Linked DNA regions of Neodiprion lecontei. The protein of the gene in region 3 purifies or fractionates together with the protein of the main gene of each other region. This does not show direct contact. Links are inferred from orthologs where the notes say so. Each region holds a gene or a part of one and is shown on either strand. Other genes may lie near its edges. The genes, in order: endonuclease G, mitochondrial; nuclear migration protein nudC; dnaJ homolog subfamily A member 2.

Region 1 (10,599 bases), on a different chromosome or scaffold from region 3:
TAAGCTAAAAGGTTACTAAGTATAGACATCGATGAGAGCTCCTCAATTCATGGTCTGGTAGGTAAACCAAAAATCTTCTCAATCCATTTTACAGACTCCACAATGTACATGCGTTGCCGGTTACACTGGAATGTACTGTGAAACGGATATAGACGATTGCGCTGCTGATACGAACGGTAATGTCCCATGCAAAAATGGCGGGAAATGTTTGGATGGGGTGAACAATTTCAAGTGTGATTGTTCTCATACGGGCTACAATGGCTCTGACTGTTCAATAGACATTGATGAATGTGCACAGATGCCAGTGAATTGTGAAAATGGTCACTGTGAAAATTTACCAGGAAGTTATCAATGCAGCTGTATCCCGGGTTATTGTGGTAGAAATTGTGAAGTTTTAGATCCGTGTATTCAGGTGAGTTTCTTGATTGTGAAGATTTTATAATTATAACTTTATCTATCGAATAAGAAAGATGTATATATTGATTGTTTATAATATATTTCTCGATAGAAATACATCGAACTTTATACATTCCAAATTTACATTCTAGACACCATGCCAAAACGAAGGAACATGCACATGTCTTGATGATTCTGGTTATATTTGTCACTGCACCTCAGATTACGGTGGGCATAATTGTACAGAGGTAAGAAAATTCAGCATTAAATCAAATATTGATCCCTGAATGCTCAAACCACCCACAATATTAGAGTTGCCACTAGAACTGCGATATGGGCGGGACAACTCAGATCTCAGAAGGGTTACGGTGTAAAAATGTAATAATGAGAACTGTTTTCTTGTGATGTCAACGTAATTAAACTTTTTTTTAGCAAAAACTTTCTTTGGGCAGCCAAGCACTGGACATTGCTGTAATAGTTGGCCCCATCGTGGGTTGTTTACTTTTGATTGGTGCAGGGTCATTAATAGCCCTTTTTATGATGGCTCGAAAAAAACGGGCTACTCGCGGTACATATAGCCCCAGTGCTCAAGAATTTAGTAACCCCAGAGTAGAAATGGACAATGTGATGAAACCTCCGCCGGAAGAAAGATTGATCTAGGGAACTTGAAGTGTGTAAACATGAGTTGTCGTCAGTTAAACCTAGTCCCTTGAATAAGTTATTGTTTCTTCTACTCCTCAGCCGCAATGAGATTTTGTAAGCATTATTTTTGTCATAACACCAGTTAATAAGGGTATAGATAAGTAATAGAAACGATTATTTCTGTATATTAGGCGGATGTTCATTTCGTTTGTGAACTTGCTTATGTTGAAACTGATGAATTTTCAATTGAATCGAAATCTAGTTTCTAAAGAGAAAAGACAAAAGCAGGTGTTAATATAAATTTTATTGACTGTTTTACCTTCTAGCAGATGACAAACGACCAGAAATTGCCGTATTTTACTCATGTACATGAATGTTATATTGCGGTTCTTAAAATGCACTATTATATGCAGTAACTGAATTAGAAACAATTAGGAGAGCTTTTTTTAGCATCAGTTGAGTTTCAGGATAACTGCTTCATGAGTGCATTTACCCAAGTTCTGAAAAATATTCTGTTACAGTATTGCATTACCAATGGATTTTTTAAGCAGTTTACTTTAGACGCAATATATATGAAATCAGGCCACCATCAGATTTATGCAGTTGGTGATGTTTAGATCAAGTGTGAAAAAATGTAGGATCGCCATCCAGGATTGAGTTTTAAACGAAATTCAACCGTTTATTAGCAATTAGGCTATCTGAGTCACACTTTATCTGCCCAACAATTTCATATAATTAGATAGTCTTGAAAACTAATTGTAAGCTTTTCTCATCATTGACCAGTCAACTTATGACGGCCTTATAGAATGACAATAATAACACCTGATATGCAGAAGCTAGTGTTAAAAAAAAACGAGACCTAGATATATCGTTACAATGCATTCCGAAAACAAAAAAATAAATGCACTCGAGTAGGTTCCTATATATGCTCAGTATAAGATTAACAGTGATACTTAAACTAAACGAATCCATTCGAAGTGTACTTAAGCGATAATAAGTGTCCTTAATGTTGAATAATTTACTTATAATATTGAAGAAGGCCTATAAATATAACGCAACCCGTCCATTTAGTGCCTAATATATATGTACAACCACTCTGAATGTCTCTATGTATATAGAGATATACTACTTAAAATATTCCCAATATTTGACTATTAAAAGATCTCTGAAGCATAATTTGATGTCTTTACTTAAACGTGAGCAATAAACGCAAATATCAGTGAAGGATTACTGATAATAATAATAATGATATTGATAATTATAATCTATTTATGAACGGTATAGAAGTGCTTGAATCATTTGTAGAAATGTATTTTGTTTCGTTTGATGAGCCTGGAACTATGATTTTTAAAACAGCACTCCGTTAATTATTCTTGTAAATACTGTAGATTATAAGTTAAGGATATTAATAGTGGTTTTTATGGATAAGATCTCTATACACATTTCGTACTGAAAATTGATTTTTAATTTGGTATATAACATTTACCATGACGACCAAAGTAATTGTAGTGAAAGTTTTTGATTGTAGGAAGGAATTTGCTCGAATTTAATCATTAGAAATGACTGGATCGGAAGGATTTTACGATTTTACGAAAATCGTGTTATTCGTCTTGTATAGTGTTCAGGGCTCAAGTTTTGAGTTTCTGTAAACAAGAATGAATTGCATAGTTACAACATTGATCTGCATGTTTAATTTATTTAAATCAGAATCACTGTGGCGTTTAGTAGCTGCAACTTGCATGCAGAATTTTCTTCTGATTCATAGTTTATGTAAAAGTTAACTGCATTCATTTATACGTATATGTATATATATACATATATTTACAGTTCTGCTTAGACAAAACTTCAAAGTTGTAATAATAAATACAGAATTATAGTATACCTATAATAACATTTATTTGCAAAGTATTCACTCGAAGTGTACAGCTACATGGTAGCAGCAAGTATAATATGAAATAGCAGATTTATTAAAATGATTTTCGAACCAGATATTGGTGAAAGTATTTTATACAGAGAAAATAGGTCTGTAAGAAGTTTATATAACTACTTTTACAGTTCGTAAAACAGTAAATCATCTAACAGCCCTCCTTTACTATATAACAATATATCAGCTTATTGTACAAAATAAAATTGTATACATTTATTTCGGAAATTGTAAATATAAAATTTGTAATTTTTTTCACACAACGTGAATGAAAAATATTTGGACGATAAATTTACCCCATGTGACTCTGAACTTCGTTGATATTAAATTATTGGGAGATGGACAAGTGAAGAGTGATGAAATACGCAAGTTATTTGAAAATATTTATTTGTTTATTTTTTCAGCTCATGATACGGTAATATTTACATTGCAACACACGGAAGACTAGAACAAAACTATACAGTATCTACATATAAGACCCGATTGCTCTGTTATTTGAAATTAAAGTGGATCTTAACTTCATTTTTAGCACTTGAAATTCAGCTCAACTTTAATTTGCCATGGTACAATCAGGCCTTAGGTATATTTCAGCACCATTATGGATTATGATGCATCAGTAGGAGCTATTATTTGGTTACGAATTTTAAAATAAAATATTTACATAACACATAATGTGAGATTATATTATTGTTTTTAGTTTTTTTAAGAAACTCAACAATGTGTTTTGCTCTCGGTAATTCAAACCTATAGCTCCGACTGGAAGGGTATTTAAGTATTTACAATTTCAACAAAATAAAAGAAATCTATAGATGTAGTCAACAGAAGTAAAATATATGTAGAGCGCTGTTTCCTTGAAGCTATGTAAAAGAATTATACACAAGGTGTAACAAACCGCAGCAAGCTGCATAATATTTTTGTTGTGCATGAAGATTTGATTGAGCAGGCTTCTACTGCATTCCCTGTTTAGAGTCAGGGAAAAGGCTCTGTATGTGTATAATTCATTTACTTCCTGTTATAGTGATTAAACATTACATCCATCCAACACGTTTTCCATTTATCTTGGATAATTTATCGCGTGATATTTTGTCAAAGAATAAAAGGCCTGCAGCTCGTTCGACACTTTCCGGTGGTACCTGTGATACGAATATTAGGTGCTTTAGTATAGAATCTTATTCAATGTATTTTCAACCCTGTCATACAAAGGGGAAATAGTGAATTAGAGGTTTATATTTAAATCCTTACAAATAAGTGTCTAAAATAATATCATACATCAGACAAAGAATTAAATAATATCCCATAAAATTAGTGTTATATTTTATTGTGTCTGAATAGGTTGATTTATGAATTGAATGAAATATGCTGGAAAACTTTATTACACTTATTTGTTTTGAACAGAGGCTATTTCGACCCACGGTATACCTGAAAATTTGTCAATGGTGCCGTGCTGTCTATTGGAGCATTTGGCATCACAAAGGCTTCCATTTCTAATCTGCAATCTTTAGTTTGCCCCACGATTACTTTGTAAAAGTGCGTAGGTACAGCCACATGATTTGTGCCAATCACCTCGTATTTTATATATTTTTTCCCATCAACTTCTTTTCTGTTAATATACGTATAATTATTGAATGTCGTTATAACGATAATGAATAAAGAAGTATGGTGCATCTATAAAGTGAAAGGCCCAAACCCAAGTATCAGAAACTAGGATATTTTCATTTAGCAATTCTTATGAAAATCTTATATTTAAGTCCTAAATGACATCAAAGGATAAATTCTCATACCACTTGCAAACTTATACATCTACTTACTTAGGAAGAAACAAGGGCCCTGTACAAACATACACATCTGTGTAAATTTCAGTCATCTTTCTCACATATTTTTCCAGTTTATTCCAAGCATCTCTGTTGAAACCTACCCCTACTTGTGGTGCTATATTTGACAGGAAAAATGTCTGTTCAATATGTTTTTGATGTGCTTTGTGGTTACCAGCTGCTGCTAAATGTCCACGATCATAACCACTGTATTTATAATCTTTATTGTCTGACCTAGCATGAAAAAGCAGAGGGAATTTAATACACAATCAAATTTTCTTACGACTACTTTGCAATTGCTTAAAATATTTATGAGCCTAAATTTACTATCATTACCGTACCGAAACATCAAGGTAAAGATTATTCCGTAATTTTTAAATGATTTTCACGGAGTTGGCTTTCTAATATATGAGTATGTTTTGTTTATTACGATTTACTTAATTTCAGACAATCACAAAGGTGCGGAGTAACAAGTTTTCCTAAACGTGCATTGTTACAGTAATGTTACTAACTTTAACCTCATGCATATTTGACAATGAGATGAACTGCATACTTTACCTGAAAAATGGATGTATGGTTTTATCAGGTTTGAATTCACACTGGGACCTGTCGACGTCTCCATTGGACTTCACATTATCCTTCGAAAGGTGCTCGAACACCCAATGGGCAATTCTGTTACGTCTGTCATATGACAGTACAAAATCATCATACGATCTGACATGATCAAGACCAGGGAAACCAAACCTCATTATCTATTAGTAGTGAAAATGATACGGATTTAACACGTAATTTTGTACGTTGCCTGAAGCTAATTACAGTGCAAACAAGGATAAAAATGAGAGATACACCAAAGTAGGGTTGATGTTCTAGTTGCGAATTGAGTTGGGAAATACTTTATAAATTATAATTTGAATAACATGCCTGCGAAGTCCTCGAAGTTGACGTTGAAAGGCTCGTTAAATGTGAATCATTATTGTTCGATCCTATAGGAGTTGCTGCTGAGACTGTTCCAAATATTGGAAGTCCTGGCATTCTCTCAATGCTAAACTCCGAGAGAAGACTCGTCTGACAGTCGCGATCTTTTTGAACGTGTTTCCATTTCTCAAAAAGCTGGCCCGCGTACCATCCTCCGAGACCAACGCTGGTTAACGCGGTTATCTTCAAAGCCATACCTGACGCTTTTGCTATTATTCGTAACTAGAATCTTGCTTACAAAGTTCCAGCAATGCAGCCAATGATTTAACTGTACTATATCGCACGCCGTAGCAGACGACCTGGTTTAAGGCCAAAAAACTCAGCTGCCACTGATATCAGTTTCGACTGCGCATACTCAACGTCGGGACGCTCCATTCGCTTGTTTTGGCCCGTCCAAAGCTAATCGGATTGCCGGATAGACCGGAAGTCGCCAGTAAAAGCAATTTTACAGCGCAAATTTCCACAATTCGTGGCGCGGTGTAGACTGAAGTTTTCAACTTGAGCGAATGAATACATACATACCTATAACAAAACGTCGCTTTCAATGATCCTTACGACACGTCATTTGTTTTAGATCACAGTTTTAAGTTGGAACTCACATATAGGAAGGACGCAAAACGGAAGATCCGTCCAATTACGCGGAACTTATCCAGACTTGCAGCGAGTCCAGATTGATTCGAAATCTCTTTGATATAGCGGTGGTTCCACAATACTGTCGAGTTACATATTTCAAGGGTAAAATATACACGATTCGTTAACGTTTTAACGTTCGTTTTTAAAATACGGCCTATCTTTTCCGTATACCTGACGCAAGTTTTCTGAACTCGCTTTATTTCGTCCGGAAGAGAAAAGCATACAGAAACCAAGTAGCACCGAACCCTTATAATGAATTTTTATTTGTAATAGAGCTCACGTGTAAAACGTAAACAAAATATTTTTCCGTCAACGACTCTGCAACGAATTCTATTTTCCTAATTTTAGTTGACTATAAAGTACATCTGAAAGTTGCAACAGTTATGGCATCATCATCTAAGAAGAAATGTTCCAACGTACAAGTCACTGTACGCATCAAACCGTGCAAACCCAGCTCAGATTATAAGTCAGTTATATCCAAAGTGGCAGAAGACTCTAGAGCGTTAAAAATTAATGGCGAGTTATTCACTTTCGATCATATCAAATGGGGGAATGCATCACAGGAACGTGTTTATAAGGCAGTTGCATATTCCGTGGTTGAGAAAACACTCCAGGGCTACAGTTCTATAATTTTGGCATATGGTCAAACTGGAAGTGGGAAATCTTATACAATGGGAACTCTACTCCCACTGGTAATAATTTATTGTACTTACATAAAAGTTTAATAACTCTTTTGTGTTTAATACTGACTGTGAGCTTAAGTGATCCAATTTTTCACTACATCATTATTTTGCCACTATATGCGAGAACATATTTCACAGTCCAACTGAGATTACAGTGTGACACAAACCACTTTCAAGTACCAAAAAATACTAACCATAACTTATGGTAGAGTACATATGCTATTAAATTTTAAATTTGGTCTTCTGACACGATAAATAAAGATTTTAATACAAGTTCACTGGATCTTTATTCTTAAACAAGCTCCAAACTTTAGACCATAGATTTTTATGGAAAATTTTTAAGAATATTTGAAACTGGATGTTTAAGCTCCGGATGGCTTTTTCACATTGTATTTGAAAAATAAAAAGCATGATTATCTCTGCATAAAGAGAAATTTCACCATAAACTTCTGTTAATTAAACTTGGAAACCATACATTCAGTTGACAATTAAGTTTTGTTGGCCTGAAATGTTCGTGAAGAACTTTTTTATTTTGAAACATGGGCTGACTCAAAAATATTGATATATTAATATATGCCTTTGTCAGTATTACGAACAAGAAAATATTGAACAAAAGCAAAAAGAACATTGTTTTGTAATTTACAGTTTCACATTTTTTGTAAACACAGATTGAATTCAAATGAGTGATCATTACTATTTAGCATTGGTTTCCAGCACTACTCAATTTGAATTCTTACAATTAGAAAGTAAAACCTAAAGAAAGAGTCATATTACATTCAGCCTCTTGCAACTTTTTTCAAATCACTGAAAACATTATCCAAAACAATACCCATGTTTTCTTAAGATATGTATAAGTTGTGATTATATAGTCTACTGTATAAGACTTGTGCACAAATTTTTGTATAGCTGAATAGTTGGCACACCACTGGTTTGATACAGCGATGTATAAAGCACGTCTTTGAGCAGAATGCAATTGAAGTTTCGATGTCAATAATAGAGATATTAGATGAAGAACCTCATGATCTACTGAATATGGGGATTGCACTTGAGATTCATAAACACGTAGCAATAAATCCAAAAGTTCAAAATATCAAAACAAAAGAAGAAGGATTTCAACTCATTAAAGCAGCTCTTGAATTGAAGCAAGAACACATGTTGCCATTGAATGATCCGCAATCACACACAATCGTGACACTTCATCTAAAGATTCCAGATGGGTAAATAATCAAATGATATCTATCTTTACTCCTCATATTGGTATTTGTAATAACTGTAAAAATCCAAATATAATTATATCAAGTTCTTGGATAGTAAGTAATGTGGCAATCTAAAATCTATGATTAATCTATTTGACCACTCTTTCTTGTACAACTGTAGGTTTTTTACATGACTTATATTTAACACATGTTCTAAGTGAATTATATAAAACTCATGTTGCAGGGAAACATTACTAGAATCAAAATTAAATCTAGTAGATCTAGCAGGATCAGAAATTCTTGACCAAATGGAAGCTGAGAATAATCCAGCATTTGTTAAAAAAGGTCATGTCAATAAAAGTCTTTCAATATTAAATAGAGTGATTACATCAATTCCAGAAGCTAAGGGTTCAGTTTCAACAGTGCACAATAACAGTACATTGACATCAGTTTTGAAAGGTGATTATTAATTGCATACCTGAACAATTTTATTTTACTACCAAACTTTGTTGCTGCACCCTACTTCGTTTGCACATATTCTATGGTTCAAAACACATTTTTCAATTTTTCAACTTGTGTTTATCCTGTTTGATTGGCCAAATCATATCTCTATGTGTAATTATGTTTTTTTATTTCAAATCGATTTCCTTGCAGGTTTTGTAGATAGCAAGAGCCTTATATCTTTGGTAGCTTGCATGACTACTCATCCGTCTGATTACAATAATACTATGAAGGCACTACACTTTGCTGAACGTACGAAGAATTTAGAAATACACCCTCTGCAAATGAACGGTACTACTTCGTGTACCAAATTTACTAATCGGCTGGAAGACACGACTCGACAACTTTCTACATTATTATCACCAGCTGGAAGCACCGTCCTGATTTTGGATCCTGCAGAAGATTCCGTGTCAGCAGCATCATCAAACTACAAGATGAAAATATGTAGTGTAATTCTCAAAAAGACTGACGAAAATTTTTATCGAGCTGAAATGAAACAGGATTCTAAAGAAAATGTAACGCCATTGAAGCCCACTGATATGCCTGTAAAAGATGAACAACCGGGATTGACTTCTGTCGAGCCTCTACATTCATTAGCTTCGACAGTCTCTATTGGCGAACTACAAACTGAAAGTGAATATGACACTAGCGTAAGCACAAACTCGACCAGACCTAAACAATATCAATGTGACACACTTCAAGGAGATAGTTGTTCAAGGTATATGTTTATTGATGTATCTGCGACACATTCACATCACTACGCAATCGCAAATTGTTGCTATCCCAATGTTATACAGATAGTGAATTATTAATATCAATTTTTTTATGTACAGATTCAGTTTTTAATATAGGAATTCATCAATGAGTGATTACTTTTTGCAGCTCCCCAGTAGATGAAACTAATGCAAAACTGCACCTACCAACACTGAAAACCGAGGTGAGAAATTTATATGCATTAAAGTGTACGTGTGTAGGAAAATAATTTGTTTCTTATTTTGCAGATATCTGCAGAAATGCAATATGAATGCCCAGTTTTTGATCTTGAATTACTCAGTCCCATTTTACCAATGCAACCACAATCTGTTCATCAAGCTTCAGTAAAAAAATTAGCTCACCTCGGAAAATAAATTTTTACAAGTTAATTTCTGAAGACAGAAAATGCTAAACCTTCAATATTATTCGATTTTACAGAATGTGACAGGTGGTGATCAGGGAAAAGTCGGAATATATCACCAACGAGGAAACATGATAAAAAGGATGAATGCTGTTATAACAACTGATTTTTTTGCACCCTCAAATACAGAACTACATGATGCTGGTACAATCTTAGAACGTAAACAAATTAATTGTCCCAGTTCAAGAAAAATGATGAAATTTGCTGAAAACTACTTACAATCGATGTTGAAGCAAGATCCAGACTCACAGGAATCGAATGATGAACGTTCAGACAATGACCGTTCTGACAATACTCAAAATGAAACAAAAGAATTGAAGTACAAGCGAATGGCACATAGTAAGAACATTTTAAGAATATTAAATACCAGTACTGCAGAACAACTGACAGCCTTGCCACTAATTGGATGCAAAACAGCGATAACAATATATCAATACAGGTAATAACAATTTTGTTTTAACTATTTAAAGCGCATTTGTGACTGTAAATGCGATTTTCAGGACTTTTAGCTTCAAAAGTGGGTTACCTCAAATCTTGATCATCTATGTTAGTTAGCATTGGATAGGCATAGATATACTGATGAAAAATATACAAGTTTAAAGGACACTTGATATACTATGTTAAACAAATATAACCACAAACAATTGCATAATTCCAGATTGAT
Region 2 (10,209 bases), on a different chromosome or scaffold from region 3:
AAGAAGAAGAGGACGAGGAAGCAGAAGCAGAAGCAGAAGCGAAAGAAGAAGAAGAGAATTCTTAGAATAAGAAGAATAAGAAGAAAAAGAAGAATAGATTATAATATATTGATACGGTATTTGATACGAAATTAATCGAACGACATAATAAATTGAAAATTTGCTACTCGACATCGAAAACAAACAAGAATCCGAATAAGTACGGATTTCAATGAATTCAATATTATGTATAGTAGAATATTAGTTCAATAACGTATAGTATGTTATCAATCTATATAATATGATAGATTTAAGGCTGTATTGCACTGTGTTAAATGTGTGGTACGTGAAATTAGTAATTACATTTATGTAATGAGCGCGCTGTGTGCCGTGTACTTCGATAAGGCCTTTTAGATTCGTAATAATTTATAAATGAAGAAAAAAAGAACGAAACGAAAAAACAAACTTGTAAGAAAAAAAAAAAAAAAAACAAAATACAAAAACAAAAGCAATCGCCGAAACCAACCGACAAAAGAAAATATAGCAGAATTGAGAAATCAAACGCAAGCCAAGCCCTTGTTGTTTAAACGAATATTGAATATATGATATACAATCAAATTAACAACATTATTTATTATCTTTCGATAAAAAAGGAGAAAAAAAAGAAAAAAAAAATCATACAAGTAATATGTTATAACAGCGGTTCCAGGATAGTTTAGCAAACATTTATGTAAACCATATAAACCTACCCGTTCAGAAAGCTTTTGATGTAAAGGTAAAATTTAGTATACTTTCGCATCGTCGAACATTCCGTAGATTTCTCTGACGTTCGAGTATATGAAATTATATCTACGATGAGAAAATTTGAAAAGAAAAATAAACAAAAAATAGCAATAGTAGTAGTAGTAGCAGCAGTAGCAGTAGCAGTAGCAGTAGTAGTAATAATAATAATAATAATAATAGTAATAACAACAATAACAATAATTATTATTATTATAGAACCCAGATGCAGCTTGATTACATCGTTAATTAAGATTCTTTAATTAGATATGTAATTTAGAGTTAATAATTTAATTGTTACTAACTTTTTACAAAGTCTAAATCAAACTTGGAGGCGATGTCTCGAACCAACGTGTGAAGGCAGCGTGCGAGATAATTTAAAAACAAAGTATACAAAACAAAAAGAACGTGGAATTTCATTGATCGATAATTGATAAAGGATGGTTGCATCATCATTCTTTGTATCTGTGATATTACTTGTGTATTAATTAATCATCGATTGAACAAGAAACTCTCGAATTATTATCGCCAAGTGTTTTATTCTTATCCCCTCCCTCTTTGCCACTCGTATAAATCCAACGATTATCGATTCCTATTCGAATGTCACAATCCTTGCCTCGTTTTACATTCACAAGTGACATAATGCGTATTTTTTTTATCAAATGCGTAATAAGAATGCTCAGACAATTATAACGAAAAAATTTCGACACTCATCGGAGCGCAGGTCGTATTTTTACGTAAGTAATAGTCAACATTTTACTACTAGTCGATCAAACAATTTCAAAACAACGAAAAACATTGCGCAACACGCGAAATGAAGTCATTTCTGATCGTACGAAAAATTAAAATACTTCCATGGAATGTTAAGAACAATCGAAGATAAAATCGGTGGTTATATTCCAGAACTGAAGTAACTTCTTCCTTGGCCAAAATAAGCGGACACGTATATTTTATTATTACCTAAATAAATTTTTCACGCCCGATACCGATTTTTCAATATTATAAGGTAAGTATGGAATTTTTCTGCCTAATGAATACTCTTTGACAAATATTTGTAATTTCAGAAGTAAAAATTGACTAATAATGTTAGACATACAGCAATTACGAAATCATACTGCAAATAATGTTCGTATTTTTTGCGTAATGCGAAATTTTTCAATTACGTAATTCATATAACGTGGTTATTGTAGAGAACCGATGACAAAGAGACAATGAGTTAAAGATACTTGTTGAAATGGAAACATCTTTTTTTTTCTAATTCTTGTAGTACTTTATAAAATACTGTACACGGAGAGAAAAATCTTAGGTGTCTTTTACATCACGATTAGTAACAGCAGGGTAATTTTTCTCAGATTTTTCTCTCCGTGTATACTCATTACAAAATATAAAAGATGAATTATTACTTCGTCTTATTTACATACTGTATTTTGCCAAGAACTAGGTAAAAATTTCTACACTATCACGAGCCTACTTGAAAAATTTTAAATGACGAATTTTTTTAAGAAGGTGTATATGAGACATTCCGTATCGAACCGAATACTTTGCTGGTAAAATATTCATCGGAAAAAAGCGATAGGTGTTTGAAGAAAAAAACGTTGCATCCATATTCTCGACTTCAGAATATAATTGCAAATTTACAATTTTGCACACACGCTCTTCTACTACATACATCTTCAAAGGTAATGAATATAGTTGAAGAAAATCAAGAGATATCGAAAAGGGCATGAAATAACCTCTGGAAATGAATTTCATTGGGTGAATTCTTTGACCTTACTTTTTGCCGTTGACTGTGTCTTTAGAATTCTAAAAAAAATATGGTTATATTCGTTTACTAGCTGTACATTAACTAATCAATATTCAAAATGGAGGTACGATCAAATCTATTTGAAAAAATTCGATCCTCTTGCATCATGGTGGTGCACACCAAGGTATAGGATTCATTTTTAAGTTACTATTCTACAAATATTGAAAAATATAATTTAAACTTTATCTGGTTTTTTTTACATATTGAAAATGGAAATATTTCTTCTGATGAGGAAAAAGTGTTCATGCAGTAAATGGACAATATGAAAAGTAAATTACGATTCCGAATGAGTTCGGCTAAAAAGAAACCACATTTTGAGTATTTGAAGAACGGTAATTTAAAAAAAGAACTTCAAACTTTGGTATGTTCCGTTGTAAGACAAGATTGATTTTATTCACAAAGATCAGATCGCGGGTCTTTTTTTTAAATTTGTGTGTCGATATACAATTAAAAATGGAATAAAAAGATAATTTTTTAGACTTTTAAAATTGGCAGCCGATAATAAGAGGCAAGGTTAAAGAATCTGACATTAAAATTTACGGAAAAACAATCATAAGAAAAGAATGTATCACATCAGTTTAAAGGGTGTTTCATGGCCTTTCCTATACCTCTTTATTCGTTGAATTACTTTTGAAGATTTAGCCACTAGAAGGAGAACGTTTGTGCCGAATTTGAAAGTTGAAATTGCATTTTGATGTCGAGAATATAGATACATTTTTTTTTTGGCAAACACGTATATTTTGGCTCAAGCGTTTTGCTTCAAATTTGGAGACAGCATTTGGGGATAGTTTATCCTCTTTGCCGTGTTCCGATTTTTTTTTTTTAATGCAAGAGAGACCGTTTGAAATTAAAAATTAATTTTTCATTAAAAATGTACAACTTTTGTACATAAATGCAGGGGAGGATAATTATAAAAAAAGAATGGTACACGGACAGATTTCCCTTATTTTAGCTTTACTTGAAAGTTAAAAACTGTTCAAAAACTCACCTCAACTTCTTGAAGAGTCTGTGTCCACCTGTAGTTAGGCATGTCAGCACCATTACCGCTGTTAGGCTTCAATTTCCCCTTCTCCTTTTCATCTTCTTCCTCGTCATCATCTTTCTCTGGTTTACCACTACCAACTTCCTCAGTCTTTACTTGTGCAATATCTCCGCTAGGTCCGGCAACAGCTGGTGGCTCGGTAGATACTTTCTGAAAAAAGTTACGATATTTATATTTTACATTTTTGTTCATAACTGCATGGTGAGGTCTAGTTTCGAAAATCATTTGTCAGTTATCATGATCTTACTTTGCTGTCGAGCTCAGCTTGCAGCTCGACTGCTTGTTCGTCTGTCAATTCAACAATCTTTGACTCGCTTTTGAACTGTTCTTCCTCTTCTTTCTTCTTTCGCTCTGCTCTTTCCTTACGTCTCCTTTCTTGCTCAGCTCGCTCTGCCTTCTCAGCTGATACTTTATTTACTGCAGTTGCCTCATGTTTCTTAAATTTACTCATCACAAGCTATAACAGGCCAAGAAATAGAACATGTCAGAAAAATTCTCGGTGCTTACGTTTCCATCTTTGCGAAAATAAAACTAAACGTGGACAAAATTCTAATTACAACATTCGTACGCTACTATAAAAGATGATATTTAAGCAAAAACCAAATTTCAATTCACCAATTTCAATTTCATGACAAATGTTCAAGTTTCATGTTTGAGATTCAAATGAACATTGAAATGCAACAAAATGTTGACATTCCAGGTGAGTTATGCACAATGCTATGTATCAGAGTGCAGTATAATCTGCATCGTCGCCTTTATTTCTGATTCTGACAGATGTTCCTAAATATAATTGTTCTGAGAAGGGCCCCCATCTGGGCTGAAACGTTGACAAAAAAAACTGTTTTTTTTTTTTTTACTGACCTTCATATCCAAGAATAATATTTACTCAACAACTAACGAGGTCAAGAAACCATTATTCAACAGTACTCAAATCCTTAAAAGTATTTATTGAACAGTGCAGTTCTCATTTTCATTCAGACCTGTCATATACAATAATCTGATTCCATGGCATCGATGAAAATGTCTTTATAATAAACATATCGATAGGAATAATATTTATCCAAATATGACAATCTCACTAATGAGGTGATAAACAGTTTGGAAACATTGGGAAACAATACTCTAAAACAAAGTCTGTATCACGCCTCAATGAATTCAGTTTATTCGTTGTACCTGGCCTGGTGACTAAAAGGCGTTGACAATAATTTAGGGCCACAATTAATACAGCACAGCTGTAAAATCAAACAAACAACAGCGACTTGTCATGGACTTATTATTGAGTATCATAAGCCTTGCATTGATGAAACGTTTGTGCAGATAGATGGTGAAATACAAGTTTTTGTGAGGTTAAATTAGGTTAGGTTAGTTAATACTTGTCTTTAGTATCGTTATCCAGCATAGTGTGAATTTGGGAATTTAGTAGGTGACAAAAAAATTACATGTTGGCTTGTCACCTGCAAACTAAGACAGGTAAGTCAGTAGGGTTGATGCGAGAAACCGGGTCAATCGAAAACTATGCCATACAAACGTGTGCGATAAATATTAGAGAAAATACCTTTTCTGCTGCGCCCTCACCACCTCCAGTGTAGAAATCAGTCTTTCGAGCCAAGAAACTGAATATCGTATCCAAAAGCTGTAAACAACGAAAATCCTCGTTTCAGAGAAACCAGAGTGAATTACCGGGCTGACTTAGAGGTTATGTGATCGTGACAAACAACGCAAATCTTACGTCTTGTACGCCTCCCTCGTGTTGCTGAGCCATCGCCAGCAGCATTCCGTCAAATTGCTCTTCCTTCGGCATGTTTTCTAATCTTTATCCTATCTTTGATTCCCAAAATATCGATATCACACCAGTTTTAACTTTTACTACTATAAAATGATAAATGCGCGATACACACTTGACAGTTGCCTGAGAAACGCCGATTCTGGAAACGTGCAGTACGCCAATCGTAGTCTACAGACAAATGACGAACTACGCGCACAGTACGCCATGATGTAGGAAGATGAGAAGGTGTGTTCCACTCATGTTCCACTAAACTCTGTATAGAGTGCGTTCCGAAATTAGCTTCGGTGCTGTCAGTAATTTATTATCTCTGTTGTGTAGCCGAATTTGTGACTAGCTCTGTCTCTGTCTTCCACAGTTCTTGTCAACTAGTTTCGGAACGCGCCCATATCTATGCACCCAACTCAAAGAACCAATCGCGTGCCTAATCCGTGTGAAGGCCATCTTGGATTTTCGACCAATTGCGTTCGAGGTCAAGTAGCGGATTTGTTTTAAAGTGTGCAAATCATCACATGGTCGTGGTCAACGAAATGGTCGACGTGGCCTTGAAACCTGGTCATTGACAGAAGATACATTATCCGTCGATACAGCGTCATATCTAAATTCATGATCGTATCTAACTTTTCAAATCATGCATACTACCACGGACCTTGCACTTCACTTTTCCCGTGGTGCTGTCATCGCAATGTTCCAGACGTACGGTGGGTGGCATAGAATAAGGCGCGATCTCGAAGATTTATCTTTTCATTAATATACGGATTGTTTCGTGAAAATACGGCAAGACCCATCCTTCAATCAGCAATTGTTTTAACATTTAACGTTTGATATTTGTTTCTTATACACCAGGAGCATGGGACTAAAAAAATACCGATAACAAGCACTGTCTGTTATGTAGAGATCAGCGATTGACTTCAAATTGCCGATGCGCAGGCGGATTTACCCGTAAATAATCCATCTTCAGTACAAGTGTCACTACATTCAAAAAATAGAAGCATTGGTTTCGTTCACCTCCAAATTCTACAAGGTTTTAAGAACCGGCAACATGTACCTATTTACAAAAGACTAACTTTATTCTATTATTTACTTGTTTTTTTTTTAGCCCTATGAACGCAACTGGAGTTAAGTGTTAGAAATAATATACTAATTCAAATTGAAATTTTGATCACGATGTGATTCGAACCCTTAACTCCAATCGTCTATTTACACAAGGCCTCCAAAGCTTTGTAGTAAGCGTACTTTATATCATACTCCATATCGTACCAGTAATTCACTGCAATACATGCATGTGACTGTGTGACATGGTGAAACCACAGCGAAGGCAAATATAAAACGTCACCTTCACACACTGTTACTCTGAGTGTATTTGCATTCTTATAAGCTGGGTATCTGTAATTGGAAATATTTAATCAGTATAACAAAGTAAATTGAGAATCAATTGACAATTGATACTGGCTCAGCTGTTGATGTACAGACACTGTATAGATAATATTTATTCAGGCATCGCTTGCTGTTTTCTTCAAGACTCATTTATCGAAGCTAACAACGTCTTTGTACATATCACTCTATTGAACCGATATAAATTCAATACACTCATTAATGAAATTACTAATTTCAAATTTTGATAAACATTTTTTTAATATTACGTTACTCACCTCATGTAATCTGGGTTTAAAGGATCAATCGATATCCAGGGTATAACGTTAAAATCCAACTGAAAATCATTTCTTTCCTCCAAGAATTCATCTATTGTTGACTCTGTAATGATTGGGTCAATCAACCATTCCCCTGGTTTTATTTCACGGTAATTTGCGGGTGGATAATTCTTGTAAGGAATCCATGGTAAATCTGTGGGTGGATGTAACACAAATTCCTTTTCACCTGCTATGACGCAGTAAATATTTTCGTATGGGTCTTTGTGCACTGTAGAAAATAATGTTATTGATTATGGACTTAGAACACTATAAAATTGTGAGCTCCACCTTATTCTATTGTATTAGGTATATCGCGCTTTTGCTTGATATTGTTTAGAAGCCTCTATTCTGACAGGGTCTCAGAAATATGCTTTGTAGAAATTCTTTGTCCACTATCAACTAGAAGACCTGAACAATATTACTTGATGTAACAGCTCTCTGATCGCCCATCCAAAAATTAACGGCATCTGGATTTTTTCCAAAAGTCTCAGTAGCCCATGAAATGTCAGTTCCAGCATCCGACCACAATTCAGGGAAATCTTCGTTGAAGTTAGAGTTTTGTTTTTGGATATAATAGACATTTCCCTGAGTTGGACTTTCCAATGCATCCAAAAACGTGGACATTGGGACGAGCCGCTCCTCCGGCATGACAAAATACTCTTTTTTTCCAGTTCCATCTTCCAACTCTTTTACTGCAATTGCATCAGCATATCCGTTCGGTGTTACAGCAACCGATACAATTTTGTCACCAAGTGTCTCGCGGAAGTATGGTATATTCCATTTACCAATCGCTGGCCACTGGCTAACTCCGCCTCTTATAAGCAGTGGTAAGTTCTTGGATACATACTCTCGATGGAAAATGAGTGGAGAAATCGACCTTTCGACCTCGGATACCTTTTTGGTCAAGTAAAGTTCTGGAAATAAATTATGAAAATATAATTTAACCGATTGCATATGCAGTATTTTTCCAAAAATATATGAATGTGATAAGGTTTTTGTCGGAACGTATTACTTGTTAATAGCTCTAAGCAAACATCTACACATTCCAAAATATACCAGAAATGTTGTTAAAAGAAGAAGGCAATAATTTATTGTATGTGATAGTAAGATCACAAAGGTGGATGTATAATTGTACGATGCCAAGACAAAAGGCAAAATGTTAAATATACATGCTTTTTACCTCCTATCGTAATTAAATTTATTGAAAAACGCAAAGAATTAGCAAAAGGCAAAACTAAATTTGCGGATCAAAGACATATAAAACAATCCATAAAATCTTGTTCTCTGCTTTCCACAGTAAATTTTTCAAAAAACGTGAAAGGGGAAGTAGTTTTGCGATAAAATGTTCGAGAAATATCCTCGTGTTGTTGATCGTGGTTATGTTCATCATCGTGCATGTACAAAATACCTCTAGATTCTTGGGAAAGCACGTTGCAGAATCTTTTTATTTTATCTTCATTTTCGGGCAACATTTTTCCCACAACAACGTGACAAGTAGAACATTTAAAACAGCGCGGTTGGATGGAATTTTGATGCAGATCGCATACATCTAATAGAATTACACATGTCACACGTGTCGCGTCGTCACCGGTTTTGTTTTGCATAGAAACAGCTGAGATTTCGCGTCTCTGTTGCTCCGTCGAAAACTTCACAGGCTATCTCTCTCGATTCTAGATATTATTTTACGGAATGCGAAACTGCTGTAATAATAGAAAAATAATCACTAGGAGGAGTACGAAAATACGCGCTGTAGAAGAACTTAGCACAGTAGAAAATGACCGATAGATGCTGATTCGATGATAAATCGTCTAAACAGCTTGTCTAGTATTAACATTTACAATCTGAAACAACGGTGACCTACCGCAAATACTGTTATTAGATTCGAATTTTAAATAGAAGGGACTTTGCAGGGGTTCGGTTGACGCACCCGATTGATTCGTGTCATATCTGGTCCGCGCCAGGAAGCAAAAAATGCCACCTGTCACAAAATTCTTATCAAGCATTAGCGTGAGAAGTAAACTTTAACGTTAATTTTTAATTATATTCCTTAAAATGGTAGTGGAACCTGGTCTCGTCTCCCAATACATCCACATCGCCCTTGTTGTTGCAACTTACTGGTCAGTTAGGTTATGTTATTATTATTTGAAATACATATATTTACGTTTATTTCTTTTTATTAACGATTTAAATTCTGATGATTTCTTGGCCAACTTGGCGCGCCATGGTTGTTGCTTGAAAATAAAATTAACTTTATCACAACTTATCTTACTATTTAATTGCGTTACCAATAAATATGATGATAAAAAAGATTTTCTCAAATTTTACCTAGTACAATTCTTACTTCATTTCAGGATCGTTTCCATTTTAACTGTTTTCGTAAATAAGGCTCTCCTCTCTAGTAACGAAGTCAATTTAGATGCGCCACTATTTGTTACTTGGTTTCAATGCGTAGTCAGTGCTTTAATATGTACCACTTGGAGCAAGCTAGCCAAATTCTTTCCACACAGGATCAGTTTTCCTGAAGGACATCCTTACTGCATGGATGTTGTGAGAAAGGTAGTTCTTTTCTTTATCCCTTTCATCACATGTGAAAATCAACTTCACTATCCTTAACATATTGAAAAAGTCACAGGCATACACATTATTGAGCACATAAATATACAGCATAACTTGAAAATGTTCAAGATCCTTATAATATCTTTAAATTTTATTTAAGTCCTCTAAAATGGTCACAATTTTTTTCAATAATTTTAAACAATTTTCCAATTTCCGAACTCAAAGTTACAAGTAGTTAAATTCCATTTGTTAAATAAAAAGTATCTTGTAAGGGTAAATTTTCAAACGTGACAAATGCCAGAAATCCTGGATATTTATAACTGAATTTTTCTACACATATGTTTCATTTGATTGGAAAGCCAGAAAAATTAGCCAGTCGTAATATTACGAAAACAAAAATAACTGAAAGTTCTTATAGTCTACTATTATCGACTTAAATTTATATAAAAATCACCATATAAACGATATTTACTAAATACTAACACACTGTTCTCTAGGTCCTACCGTTATCAGTGCTATTCACCTTTATGATAGCCAGTAACAATCTGTGCCTGAAATATGTTGGCGTAGCATT
Region 3 (11,609 bases):
CGTAGCATCTTACCTAAAAATGAGCTATTCATCACTAAGTTCGCTGTGTAAAAATAATAATGATCCTATGCGCAAGAACATGACGTATGCGACACCCCGCCAGCGCCTAACTATAGGCAATCCTAGGAAGGATCTGATTGTTTTCGCCTGTACAGTAAGCAACTGTTCATACTGCACGTAATCGATATTTATAATTCGAATTCTTGTAGCAATGGGTTCCTGCATCAAATTCGATAATTCTGGGACTTTGTCCGCGATTGATAACACTCACCCTTTGCTTGTGTTCTTTTTTTAGGTGATGAAGGTAGCTTTTAAGACTGGGAAATTTTTTGACCGTCCTGCAAGTTGTACATTCGTATGCTTTCGACCCCTCCTCTGTATCGACGAGCGGGCTTTCGGTCGGCTCTTCTTTTATTACCAATTTCCCCTCCTCGTCATCTTCCTCGCCGTCTTCATCAACGTCCTCCTTCTCCCCTTCTTCCTCCTCGTCCTCTACGGCCGCCGACGCGTCATCCTCATCCTCCTCTTCATCCGCCATTGCTGTTGGCTCATCATCCGAAACGTCTCCCCTCTTGCTCCTCCTGGTGTCCTCGCGCTCTTGGTCCTGTTCCATCGGCTCATCCTCGTCCTCGACATTTACTTCGTGGTTTCTTTCTTTCGCAGGGTGTCCGGTGGTGGGTGGGGGAGCCGCTACAGCAGGTTGAGGTCGAGGACGCAGCGCTCGCAAACGGGGCAGCGAGTCCGCCATCTTGTTCTGTTCCGTGGCTGTTATTTTTCGTAGCCCCCTATCAACTCCTGAAAAAATCCTGGTTCTTAGAAAAATAATTTCCAAATTGCTGGGGTCGAGTGCCAGTTTCTTGAAACGCATCCGATTCCCATTCTTCGCTGAGCTGAAAATGCCAGTCAAATAAATGGACATGTCATTCGATTATTCATCGAAATTACGCCAAAGCTGAAGAGAACCAGATTCCCTGAACTGGCTCACTGATCGGTCACAATGGTTGCAACAAAACAATCGATCATTACGCAACATAGCGCCAGTACAATAATCTGTAGAGATAATTAGCATTACAAGCACAAAGGATTAATTACAGCAACTTGAAGGATAGCTGTTGGTACTCCGCCATTGCATGACTGTTTCCGACCTTCCGTTCCTCCGCTTTCTCACGTCGCCGAACATCCAATATCCATGCGACTTCCGCGCTGGTTGGAATGACAGCGTGCGTCTCACTCGCTCCAACCTAACAACCAGCTAAGCCATATACTCGCACGCTCTCACTCTCACTCTCTATTCCCTTCTCGCTCCCGCCTTCACTCTTTACCTCTTTCCGAAGAGACCCAAGATGTGCTGTAGTTATATCGTCTTCCAACTGCACGGTACACACAAAACAGTACCCAAGTAGAAGAGAGAAGAGTTGATAAACCCCCGAAGAATAAGTAAATTGACAATCAAAAGACGTGGCAGCGAGACGTGCCGAGTTGAACGTGCATATTTGTCTAGAAGGAAGGACAGTGGTAATGCAGAGTAATTACATGATTTAGTACCTTGTTAGTTGATACTCGGACCCTCGAAGTTATTATTCACTGATAGTCAACGATGCCTGGCATAGAACCTTGCTATTGGAATACGGCGAGGTCGTGACGGCGTGTTGCGTGTATTGCTCAACTCTTACACGGTGTGCTTTTGGCTTTGCTTGCTGCCCTGGCCTCTTGCGTCTTGCCACTAGACTCTAGAGGAAAGCCAGGAGGAGCGGCGGCGGTGGTGGCAGCGGCGACGACGGCGGCAGCAGGCGGTCGCTCGGTCGGTCGTCGGTGCGTCGGGGTCTCGTTCGTCGGTGTAAACACTCGCGCACGCGGGTAACACAGCTAGGTAGTAGGTAGCACGCACACCACCGAGGAAAGTCCCGAGCAGCCTGCAGCCTTGCAACGCTTGCCAGCCAGCAAGCAAGCACAGAATGCCACCGACTCTCGAGTGCTTAAGAGCCGTCGGACGATCGCGATTATAGTATTTGAAGAAAACAATTGTTGGCACTAAAGAGGGAGCGAGAGTGAGAGAACCAGAGGGAGAGAGAATGACGATAAATGTGTTAACGTATGGAGAAAACAGGAGAAAAAAGGAGAGATAGAGAGCTCGGTCACACAACTTTATGGATAGTGATATATATACGTCCATGTAGATGTAAGTATGAATGTATACCGATGATGACATACACGTTGGATCCATGCATGTGTCAGGGGCACGTGTATACATACATCGGATCGAAGAGCTTCGCAAGGCGTTTACGACAGCTACGACCGTCTCGGCGGAGGAGTGCGAGATATTTATGCGAAGAAAATGACGCGAGGTGTGTTGATGGAATCAGCGAATAATCAGGAGAGGATAAACAGGACAATAAAATAGCGATGACCCTCCGAATAGCTCCTTATTAATCAATAAAGTATTAATCGCGCACGTGTTGTACGTCTATACTGTGTATGCGAGACGATCGTTTCTGCAAGAACGGTGAAGAAACCCACCGTCAGCCCCTCCCGGATGCGGGATGACTGACGACGCCGATGGCCAAGTAGCGCAGGCGGGCGCCATCTGCAATTCCACTCCCTTCCAACTTACCTACGGGCATATTACGGGCTACGGGACAGGTCCGACGCGAAATGCGATAGCGTCAGAGGACCTTATATACTTATTTATTACCATGATCAAGGTAGACTTATTCTACACTTTGAGCTACATCAGCACCGATTTACCGGATTTGAAGCATAGTATTCATCGGTGCAGGCTAAGCGAACTAATTCAGTGAGCGAACGCCTAGTCGCCATTTTCCTCTCTCCTTTTTTCCTGTTTCGATTAATGGTCTGCCCGGAAATGACGCGGCTAGTACCATGCAGCTGTTATGATTATTCCGACAATCGACAGGAGAAATTGGTGCAGGAAATGAAGAATAAAAAACTGACTTGCCCCAAAGTTGACCGCAAATGCGATTGCATGAGATATTACCCTCGCCGTGGATTTCCGGTGATGACCGGCATATTGTTTTTTATACATACGTACTAAACTTACACTAATACGGTATAGATACGAAGTAACGCTGCATATAGATGCATGTAAGATACGCGGAGAGACGATAGCGCGAGAATCCGTATGGAATCGACATTTCAACGTGCAAGGAACGTGCATGCATGCGTATAATATCGAACGCGACTTTGTTCCTGCAAATTATCGAATATTCACTATTTTCGTAATAAGATTGCCGTTGACATTTTAAAGCAGAATAGGTTGATGTGGAAATTAGAAACGATACCCTGACCTTCGGCAACTATAAATATAGACAAGATTTCCATAATTATTCGACATATGCTGCATGCACGCACGCTCTCCCGTCTTCGAAAATTACCAAATAATTATTTTTCGCCAAAATGTAATCAGACCGATTCATATTCTCTTGAACGCCGATTGCGGCAGTACAATCTTACATTGCAATACTTATACATATACGCCTATAATACGTGATTTATAAATCAGAAGTATCTTTCGCTGTATAACATATAAATGTATACAAGATTATCGTAAGGCTAATAAGTACCTACGTCTACAGCCTAGCTCGATACCCGTTATCTTCGTGCACGTCCGTCGCCGAAGTATTCCAGGGACACGCAGTGGCCATCGTGCAAAGTCAGACTTACACCGCAGAGTCAACTATGTAGTGTATTCTACTTTGTGCAACACCGCTATTACACATTCCCAAACTCTTCAGAGTACAGAGAAACGATCCCCTAACTGATCACGAGCAATGAATTACGCTCACACTTTCTATCTAATATGGAAAAAAGTTTTACCTGATTGCCTGAGATTCCGATGCCGTATATACACGACGCGTATATCTATCCGAGTGCTTATAGGTTGAAAAAATCCTCTAATAGGGAAGTTTCGTTGATTTTTGGTTATTTTATATTTCAATAGTTTAGGAGGAAAATGATCTGGTCACGTGTTTCCCTTTTCGTTAAAAACAAAGTCGATAAAGCAAAGTATCAGCAGATTGAAAAAGGTACTGTGTGACATCAGCCATGCTGAAATACATCTATCTATATCAAACCTGTGAAAGAGAAACGTTTATACTGTCACGAAACTTATAAGTTTTGACATCATCTTTTGTTGCAAAAATAAAGAAATACGGGCAAATTATATTGAACTGATCTACCTTATACAGAAACGAATAGTCGGAATTCTTTTTCCCGTAAATTGATATTACTACTGCAAGTATTGATTTTAACTACGTCTGTACCGTGTGCAGGATTAACTAACTGGATTCACGAACGTTTTGTTCTGCAGTAATATCAGGATTATTACAACAAACCTAGCAGAATTCTTACTGAAGCCAAGTAAAAATTCCACAGGTGTATAACCTTTCAGATAGTTGCAGAAGAATAATATAAGATGTATGACATACATTCATGTCTTTATTTGCGGCTGTGCTCTGATTGAAAGAGCGATGAAGTAACAAAATGATTCAATGGAAGAAAGAAGTATGCATGTCCCTTAGTCGGATGCGGATTCAATAGCAGACTTCGAACAAGGTATATTCCTGGGATATTGATGTATACGAAACGGAAATTTCTTTAATATCTTCTGACTGTGGGATTTCCACCATTAATCGGATTATTACCAATACTTTTGGTACAAATATTAAAGAATAATATTTATCTGACTTCATCCATTATTCTCCAACTTACTGGTTGTTTAATTCATTAGCGAACAAGTAAATATTTACGAAGTTATATAAGCAGAGTGAGTGAAACGCAAACCGGTAGGCAAATTCCTTTAAATCACGAAATAATTTTATCCACTTAGCTGGTATAATGGGGAATATTTTTCTGAATAACTATTCGCACCTTGCGCGTGCTGGAAAAGAGATGAACAAGGTGCATCACTTGATGATCAAGGCATACGTTTTATTGAAACGGCTGCAGTTGATGCTAATAATTGATAAATATGTCGGCCCAAGCCGATTAGGACGACGGTTAATCTACATTATAGACACATGATGTACATGGATACATGTGATAATTATTTGTGTACGAGTGCTGCGTACAGAGTGAAATGTGACTATTTACTGAAAAACTAGTGTACTCGATTTTTTTCACCATACTGCACAATATTTATACTCGATTCATCCATTTTGCAATTATCTAGTCTCTCATTCGCTCACTCTTACTTCCTCGATCAATTCAATTACATAAAATAATTTTCTACGTCGGGAATTTTTCGAATGATACAAATTCGTTCTTCTGGAACTTCGTTCGCGATTTTCTTTTTTGTTTGTCACTTCCTTACATCCTTGAAAGTTGTCGTATATTGAATTTGAATAACACATGCAAGTTTTTTTTCACTTCATTTCTGGCATTATGATTCAATTATTATTCATTATAATGGTTGTATTACAAACTTGTCACTGTAGTAATTAAAATATCACTGAAACAAATAATTAAATAAAAATAAAAAAATAAATCAACACTTGTTCTGTACATTGACGACTTAAATCGCGCATGGCCTTCGTGGCAAGTGATCAATATATTCTGATAAGAAAAAAATCGAAAATTTGTGAATCAAGCCTCTTGAAACCTACTTCAGTACATGACGGAATACTTTTACTGATGCTATGCTTACTGCAATTTCCGGCTTTGGTTGATGTAGTTGTAGTTTATAAGTTTAATATCATTTTGTTCAGAAAAGTATTCATTGAAGGTACAGATGACGAACAATTTTGCGAGTCATGTTGTTATCAAGATGATAGAAAAATGAGATATAAAACATAAAACTAAAATAGATAAAATTGCAGGCAGATAAAACATCTATGTGTGGCAATCACATTTTAAAAACCAGAGAAATTGCTTATTCACGGGTGGCAATCAACGGTATAGACAATTTATGACATTTTTGTCTTTTCGTTGATTTAGGATTGTAAATTGTACTAATTCTCAACCATTTAATTACTCCTCTTTAAATGAACGATACTTGACGGTATTAAAAATGTCCGAGGACTTTGGTGACCACCCTCTTTGTTGACGACTTGTTACTTGTCGAGTGATTAGCTACTCAATCATTTTATTATTCTTTAAGAACTGGTGGAGATAATTAGTTATAAATTTTATTGATGTGCACATTGCACGCCGGAATGTTGATGCATCTCATCTTCGTCTGACGCGTACGCTTCTGCCGATCGTCCTGACGCATCACGATGCGTTGGATCATATTCTTGCAGATCCACTTCCTCGGCATCACGCGGCACCACGGTGGGTGGAATGTTTGGTCCAAGCGTTGTTTTTAAATCCTGTTCATAAAATAGTAACGTTGATCAATGGTAGAGGAACATGCTCATTTCATACGTGCAAATTTTATGATAGAAAATCTGGCAGGATTAGAAAGTAAATTGAATAGCTAATGGTTCGTTCAGATAAAGGTAAAAAAAGTCAAAACTCACCATGAGCACTTTTTCGGAACAAAAGTGATTTTTAGGGAAAGTTACTTCAAAATTTATGTAAAGATTCCCTTTTTCGAAAGGATTCCTGTACTGTGGCATCCCTTCACCGACAACTCCTTTCACATCACCAGGACGAATCACATGACCAGCAGGATGTTTAATGAGCAAATTTCGTCCATCTAAATGACGCACTACAAAACTTGCTCCACAAAGAGCTTCAGCTAGTCCGATGCTTTTAGTCATAATCAAATCATCCCCAGATCTTTCAAAGGTTGGATGAGGTTTCTGTTGCAATACAATAACAACATCGCCAGGCTGTACTTCTGGCATTTGATCCCCTTCGCCTAAATTACATTAATACATCATATTTTGCATGATCATAAAAATTTATGACAATTTTGTTCATTATTCAGAAATTTCGGTCATATTTCAACTAATATCTACATAAAATTTTACCTCTGAAGAGAATTTTCTGCGACTCCCGCATTCCTTTGTCAACATGGACTTCTAAAATTTTAGTTTGATTGACAACTTTTTTGCCTTCACATGTTGTACATCTATCTTTCTCATTGATTATTTCACCAGTAGTTTGACAATGAGTGCATTTCTCTTGAATCTGCTGCGCCATACCTGGTGCCAACTGCCTGTATGAAACTTTGTAACCGTACCCACGGCATTGCTTGCATGTGGTTACAGCACCTTCAGCTCCACCAATCCTAACAATACATATTAGATAAGTATATATATTAATTCTGGAAAGAAATTTTTCTACCAAAGATATTCTCAAATGCAATCAGACTTTCTCTAGTCATGATGAAAATTAAAGTCAGGTAGAAAATAACACATTATTATGCTAAAATATTTTTAAAGAAAGTGTGAAATGAATTGTTACCCAGCACAAGCGGCACAGAGCACATTTTTGCTGAGCTGCAGCTTTGCAGTTTTTCCATTGTACATGTCTTCCAGAGTTACCCTGCAAGTAAACATACAGATTAAGGATCATTTGAATAAAGCTTCATTAGTCATTATTTATTCTCAGACACTCACTTGAGCGGATGAACAGTGTCTTCACCACGACGGGATTTTCGCCTGCCACCCATACCACCGCCGAAACCTCCCAGTCCTTAAAAAAAATCCAGTATAAATTGAATCAAAAAATGACACAAAAAAGGCAAGGGAAATCATTTGATTAAATAATTTAGCATGTAAATGTTGGTTAAAAAATTGTCCAAAATTGAAGAAACTTACCACCGAACAAACCACTGGCTCCGCCACCAAAAAGCTGGGAAAATATGTCATCTGAGGGAAATCCATCACTGGCTCCTTCTTGTACACCTTTTATTCCATGTTTATCATAAATTTGGCGTTTCTTAGGGTCGGATAAGACTTCATAAGCAAATGAAATTTCTTTAAATTTATCACCAGCTTCCGGATTTTTGTCGGGATGAAACTCCTTTGCAAGTTTTCTATAGGACTGATAATTTTCCAAATGTAACGGCTATCTTGTGACATATTATCACCTAGTGAAATTTAATGTTTAATTATGACATAGGGATAAAAATTACAAAGAAGACTTAAAAATAGTTGAAGGTACAGTGAAATTATTTGCAATACTTTGTCTGTTTGAAGTAGCAATAAAGATGAATTTATTATCTGCGCAGCTCAGCTTCCATATCGAAGTGATTTATTCATTCAAATTGCTAAACATTAATAGCCATACAAATAATGATAGTAATAATAATGAAAATGATTTAATTAAACATAAAAATAAGGTTTCACACTGAAGAATTGAGAGTTGATGAAAAACGTAGGTAATGGTAGTGGCTATTGAACTATTTCATTGGTGGAGAGGGACACTAAAGGTAACGGTAAAATGCGGAAAAATTCTAAGAACCCATAGAATAAAATTTATTGTTTCTTTGTCAGGAAAAGGCACAGAAAAACGAGTATGCAACTCAAGAACAAAAACGATAATAATTTTAATCGAAATAAGTAGAGAAATTGAAGTGATTCACAATGTTATGTAATGAAAACCGTTAATAACGAAAGAATGATTAGTCAAAAGTCAAGTTGCACATCGTGGAGTGCTAATTATCTGTTGAAGAATAGGGAACAAGGTTTGACCTCGAGAAGATAATGCGGTAATATTTTTGCAAATTCCTGTCGGAATGATGCAGTTACCTTTTTGATTTCTGCGTCGCCGGCAGTTCGTGGCACTCGGAGTACTTCGTAAAGTTTATTATCTGCCATTATGCGATGAAAAATCGAATAATCCCAGAGAAATTATAAAAGGCCCCGACTTTGGCGTGGCGGAGCACAAGCCAAAATCCTCTAGTCGTTGGGTAATCAGACGTACCTGAGATACCGAACTCAGGATACAAAACATGGCCCTTGACTACCAGGTTAGACGTCAACTAACTCTATCTAAGTATTTTAGACTACAAAAGGTTTTTCTATCTAACTTGAATAGTTCCATTTTTTTCCGTTTCTACGCAGTAGGCAAAGGACCTTAGTAATTTTCCTGTGGTTTTCCATATTACTACTTTGTGGTTTTAATATCTTCTCAACGATTATTTGTGAGTAAATGTTCAGTTGTGTCAGTATTATTGACATAAGTTCATAATCTGCTGCGTGGAAATTGTGAGGCATTCGAAGAACAGTAAGAAAGCTCCGAATTTACCACCGATTTTCAAAGATGGGAGGCGGAGACCTTGTAAGTAGTTGAATAAAATGTAATAACCTACAATATAATAATTTTTTTCCTACCTTGATTACTCCGAATTTCTTGCATTGTTTTTTTCCATAACCCAGGTTTCATAACATAAACACAACATAAAATTTCTTATAATAACGTGTTTGACTATGTAATTATGTAGAATTTGAAGAAGTCATGGCATCCTTCTACAATGAAAAATATGGAAAAGGTGTGGAAAGCGGAGCAGCAGAACAGCCAGGAAAAGAAAAGAATAGCGGAGTTAAAGCGTGAGATTGAGATGGAGAAAGATCGAGAAGATATGACAAAATATGCCATGGACCAAGGCGTAATTGAGAAAAAAGAGGATAAAAAATTAGACTGGATGTATCAGGGGCCTAATCAAATGTTAAATCGGGAAGATTATCTCTTAGGACGCGCTATCGATAAACCATTTGAACAGATGGCTCAGGCTGAGAAAGAAGCGGAGCAAAATCGTGCACCCAAAAATCATGTAGAATATGGTAAATTGCCAAGGTTCAAATAATTAAAGAAATGAGCCGTTTGTAGTTCTCAGTGAACCCACACATAACACTGTAACTCTATTCAAGTCGCGAAAAGAATTTCAGTTTGAAATAAAGTCCCCCAGGACTAGTGTGGATTATATCAGAAAGAGTTCAGTCCATAAGTTATTGTAGTTTTCCAAATACCACAACAGTAACATCTGTCAACAATGTTATCTGGTTTGGAATATCTAAAACCATGAAGGATTGGATCAACTACTAACACCGTGCCCAGTAAACTTTTGCGTAGCATAATTCTACTCCAATTGTATATCTCTTTGGATAATTCAAATAGGGTTGCTTAATCATCTAAATACAGTCGGACCTCAATTCTACGGACAATTTAGAGAACCAATTCTGGTGCTACCGCAGATTCTTTCTCGTGTGATAGGGGCCGAAAGTCTGCAGAATCGAGGTTCAACTATAGCATTTTCGCTAAGTGCTTTGTCTATATAGAAAATTTGCTATTGTGGTTATCTTTCACTTGTTTTTCCTCTGCAGAATGCATACCACCATCACTAAGATTCTTTTCGGGCAATGAACAAGTGGATTTAGCCAGAAAATTACAAGAAGATCCATTGTATGCTATAAAAAAAAAAGAGATGGAAAGCCGGAGTCAGTTGTTGAAAAATCCTGTTAAACTGAAGCAGCTTAAACAGCTAGTGAGTTGTTCAATTAAATCAATATAGTAGTACAGCAATTTTGGGCAACATATCATTTGTATTTTGTATACAGTTGGAAGAGCAAGCAACAAAAAGTAAGGCTGAAAAAAAGCATAAAAAAAGGAAAAGCAAGAAGCAGAGTAAGCATGATTCTGAAGGTAGCGACAGTGATAAAGACTTGGACAATTTATTAGCTGCAAAGTATAATAAGCTTAAAAATAAAATAAATGAAAAAGACCTACTAATGTCCGTGAAAAAGCTGCAAAAACAAAAGAAGAAAAAGGAGAGTAAAAAGTCGAGCGATTCTCAAGAAACCAGTGAGGATGAAGAAATGGAAAGAAAAACAAACTCAAAAGATAAATCGTGGAAGAAACAGCCTAGCATTGATGAAAATGAATTTAAAAAACGCAGCCATAAGTCGAGAGTCACTAGCTATGATACTGAAAGAGGACATGAGCGATTGGATCGAAGAAGATATAAAAATAATAGTTACAGTCACGAGGAAGATGCCTCAGGGTCTAAGGACAAGCACAAAAGAACCGGTAGTGTTAACCACACTGAAGGATTCCAAAAAAATAGACACCAAACCAAACGACGTCGAAATTCAAATGACTTTGGTAGGAAATCCAGCAAGTCTTTAAGGTCAGAAACAAAAAGATTACACAGTCCTGAATATAGCAGTAATGACGAAGAAGAACACCACATGAAATCGAGAGGAAATTATGGTCTAATAGTAAGTAGAAGATTTTTGTGCTTCAGGTATATCTGATCCGTTACTCAAGTGAAAATTTGAAGTTTCCCCTTGAATCATATGTTAAGAAACTAATATTTTAAATTTCAGAGGTCTGACGGAACTAAAATTGTACCATCTGGAACGTCTAATCATTTAGATACGGTGAAACCGCATGAAAAAAAAATGGCAGAGAAACGCTGGGTACCACCTAAGCGAGAAAAGCTGACAGAAGATGAAAAGGAGAGACGAAGACAAGAAATGATGGTCAATGCGTCATGGAGAGATAAGGAACGAGAACAAAATGTGAAGAGGTATCGTGATGAGGAAAAACGGGAAATTAGTGATAAAACTTACAACAAAGAATTCATCAGGTGAATTAAATGAACCCAGAATGCTTTACCTATCGAATATACTGGTACTCTCTGCTGATGTAATTCATCTGATGTGCATCTTGGATTTTCGTGATTTCAGAAAACAATTAGC

The links.
Region 1: the proteins of dnaJ homolog subfamily A member 2 (region 3) and endonuclease G, mitochondrial purify together in Homo sapiens (affinity purification with mass spectrometry; 3 studies listed by BioGRID and IntAct, with this or other methods). This does not show direct contact. The link is inferred for Neodiprion lecontei from reciprocal best matches to the Homo sapiens genes DNAJA2 and ENDOG.
Region 2: the proteins of dnaJ homolog subfamily A member 2 (region 3) and nuclear migration protein nudC purify together in Homo sapiens (affinity purification with mass spectrometry; 4 studies listed by BioGRID and IntAct, with this or other methods). This does not show direct contact. The link is inferred for Neodiprion lecontei from reciprocal best matches to the Homo sapiens genes DNAJA2 and NUDC.

The regions. Positions count from the first base shown.
Region 1 is NC_060262.1:28,811,114-28,821,712, reverse strand, and holds endonuclease G, mitochondrial, read right to left. Parts: upstream 6,068-10,599; 5' UTR 5,944-6,067; coding exon 5,695-5,943; intron 5,626-5,694; exon of another isoform or gene 5,547-5,625; intron 5,526-5,546; coding exon 5,332-5,525; intron 5,010-5,331; exon of another isoform or gene 5,008-5,009; coding exon 4,771-5,007; exon of another isoform or gene 4,563-4,770; coding exon 4,382-4,562; exon of another isoform or gene 4,096-4,381; coding exon 3,991-4,095; 3' UTR 3,333-3,990; downstream 1-3,332. Other genes in the region: protein crumbs, read left to right, coding at 95-412, 549-644, 829-1,056; kinesin-like protein Nod, read left to right, coding at 6,765-7,073, 7,971-8,281, 8,505-8,719, 8,915-9,479, 9,644-9,698, 9,763-9,858, 9,953-10,374, 10,594-10,599. UniProt on the Homo sapiens protein: Endonuclease that preferentially catalyzes the cleavage of double-stranded 5-hydroxymethylcytosine (5hmC)-modified DNA.
Region 2 is NC_060260.1:24,293,792-24,304,000, forward strand, and holds the start of nuclear migration protein nudC, read right to left. Parts: upstream 5,599-10,209; 5' UTR 5,407-5,598; coding exon 5,335-5,406; intron 5,239-5,334; coding exon 5,161-5,238; intron 4,063-5,160; coding exon 3,853-4,062; intron 3,756-3,852; coding exon 3,552-3,755; intron 699-3,551; exon of another isoform or gene 1-698. Other genes in the region: bifunctional peptidase and (3S)-lysyl hydroxylase JMJD7, read right to left, coding at 6,585-6,774, 7,041-7,308, 7,502-7,993, 8,488-8,683; GDP-fucose transporter 1, read left to right, coding at 9,132-9,196, 9,431-9,635, 10,133-10,209. UniProt on the Homo sapiens protein: Plays a role in neurogenesis and neuronal migration. Necessary for correct formation of mitotic spindles and chromosome separation during mitosis. Necessary for cytokinesis and cell proliferation.
Region 3 is NC_060261.1:35,411,144-35,422,752, forward strand, and holds dnaJ homolog subfamily A member 2, read right to left. Parts: upstream 8,826-11,609; 5' UTR 8,727-8,825; coding exon 8,658-8,726; intron 7,951-8,657; coding exon 7,725-7,950; intron 7,600-7,724; coding exon 7,524-7,599; intron 7,450-7,523; coding exon 7,369-7,449; intron 7,193-7,368; coding exon 6,933-7,192; intron 6,821-6,932; coding exon 6,477-6,820; intron 6,327-6,476; coding exon 6,144-6,326; 3' UTR 4,927-6,143; downstream 1-4,926. Other genes in the region: zinc finger protein Xfin, read right to left, coding at 1-13, 272-748; pre-mRNA-splicing factor CWC25 homolog, read left to right, coding at 9,172-9,189, 9,353-9,692, 10,233-10,393, 10,467-11,126, 11,235-11,497, 11,598-11,609. UniProt on the Homo sapiens protein: Co-chaperone of Hsc70. Stimulates ATP hydrolysis and the folding of unfolded proteins mediated by HSPA1A/B (in vitro).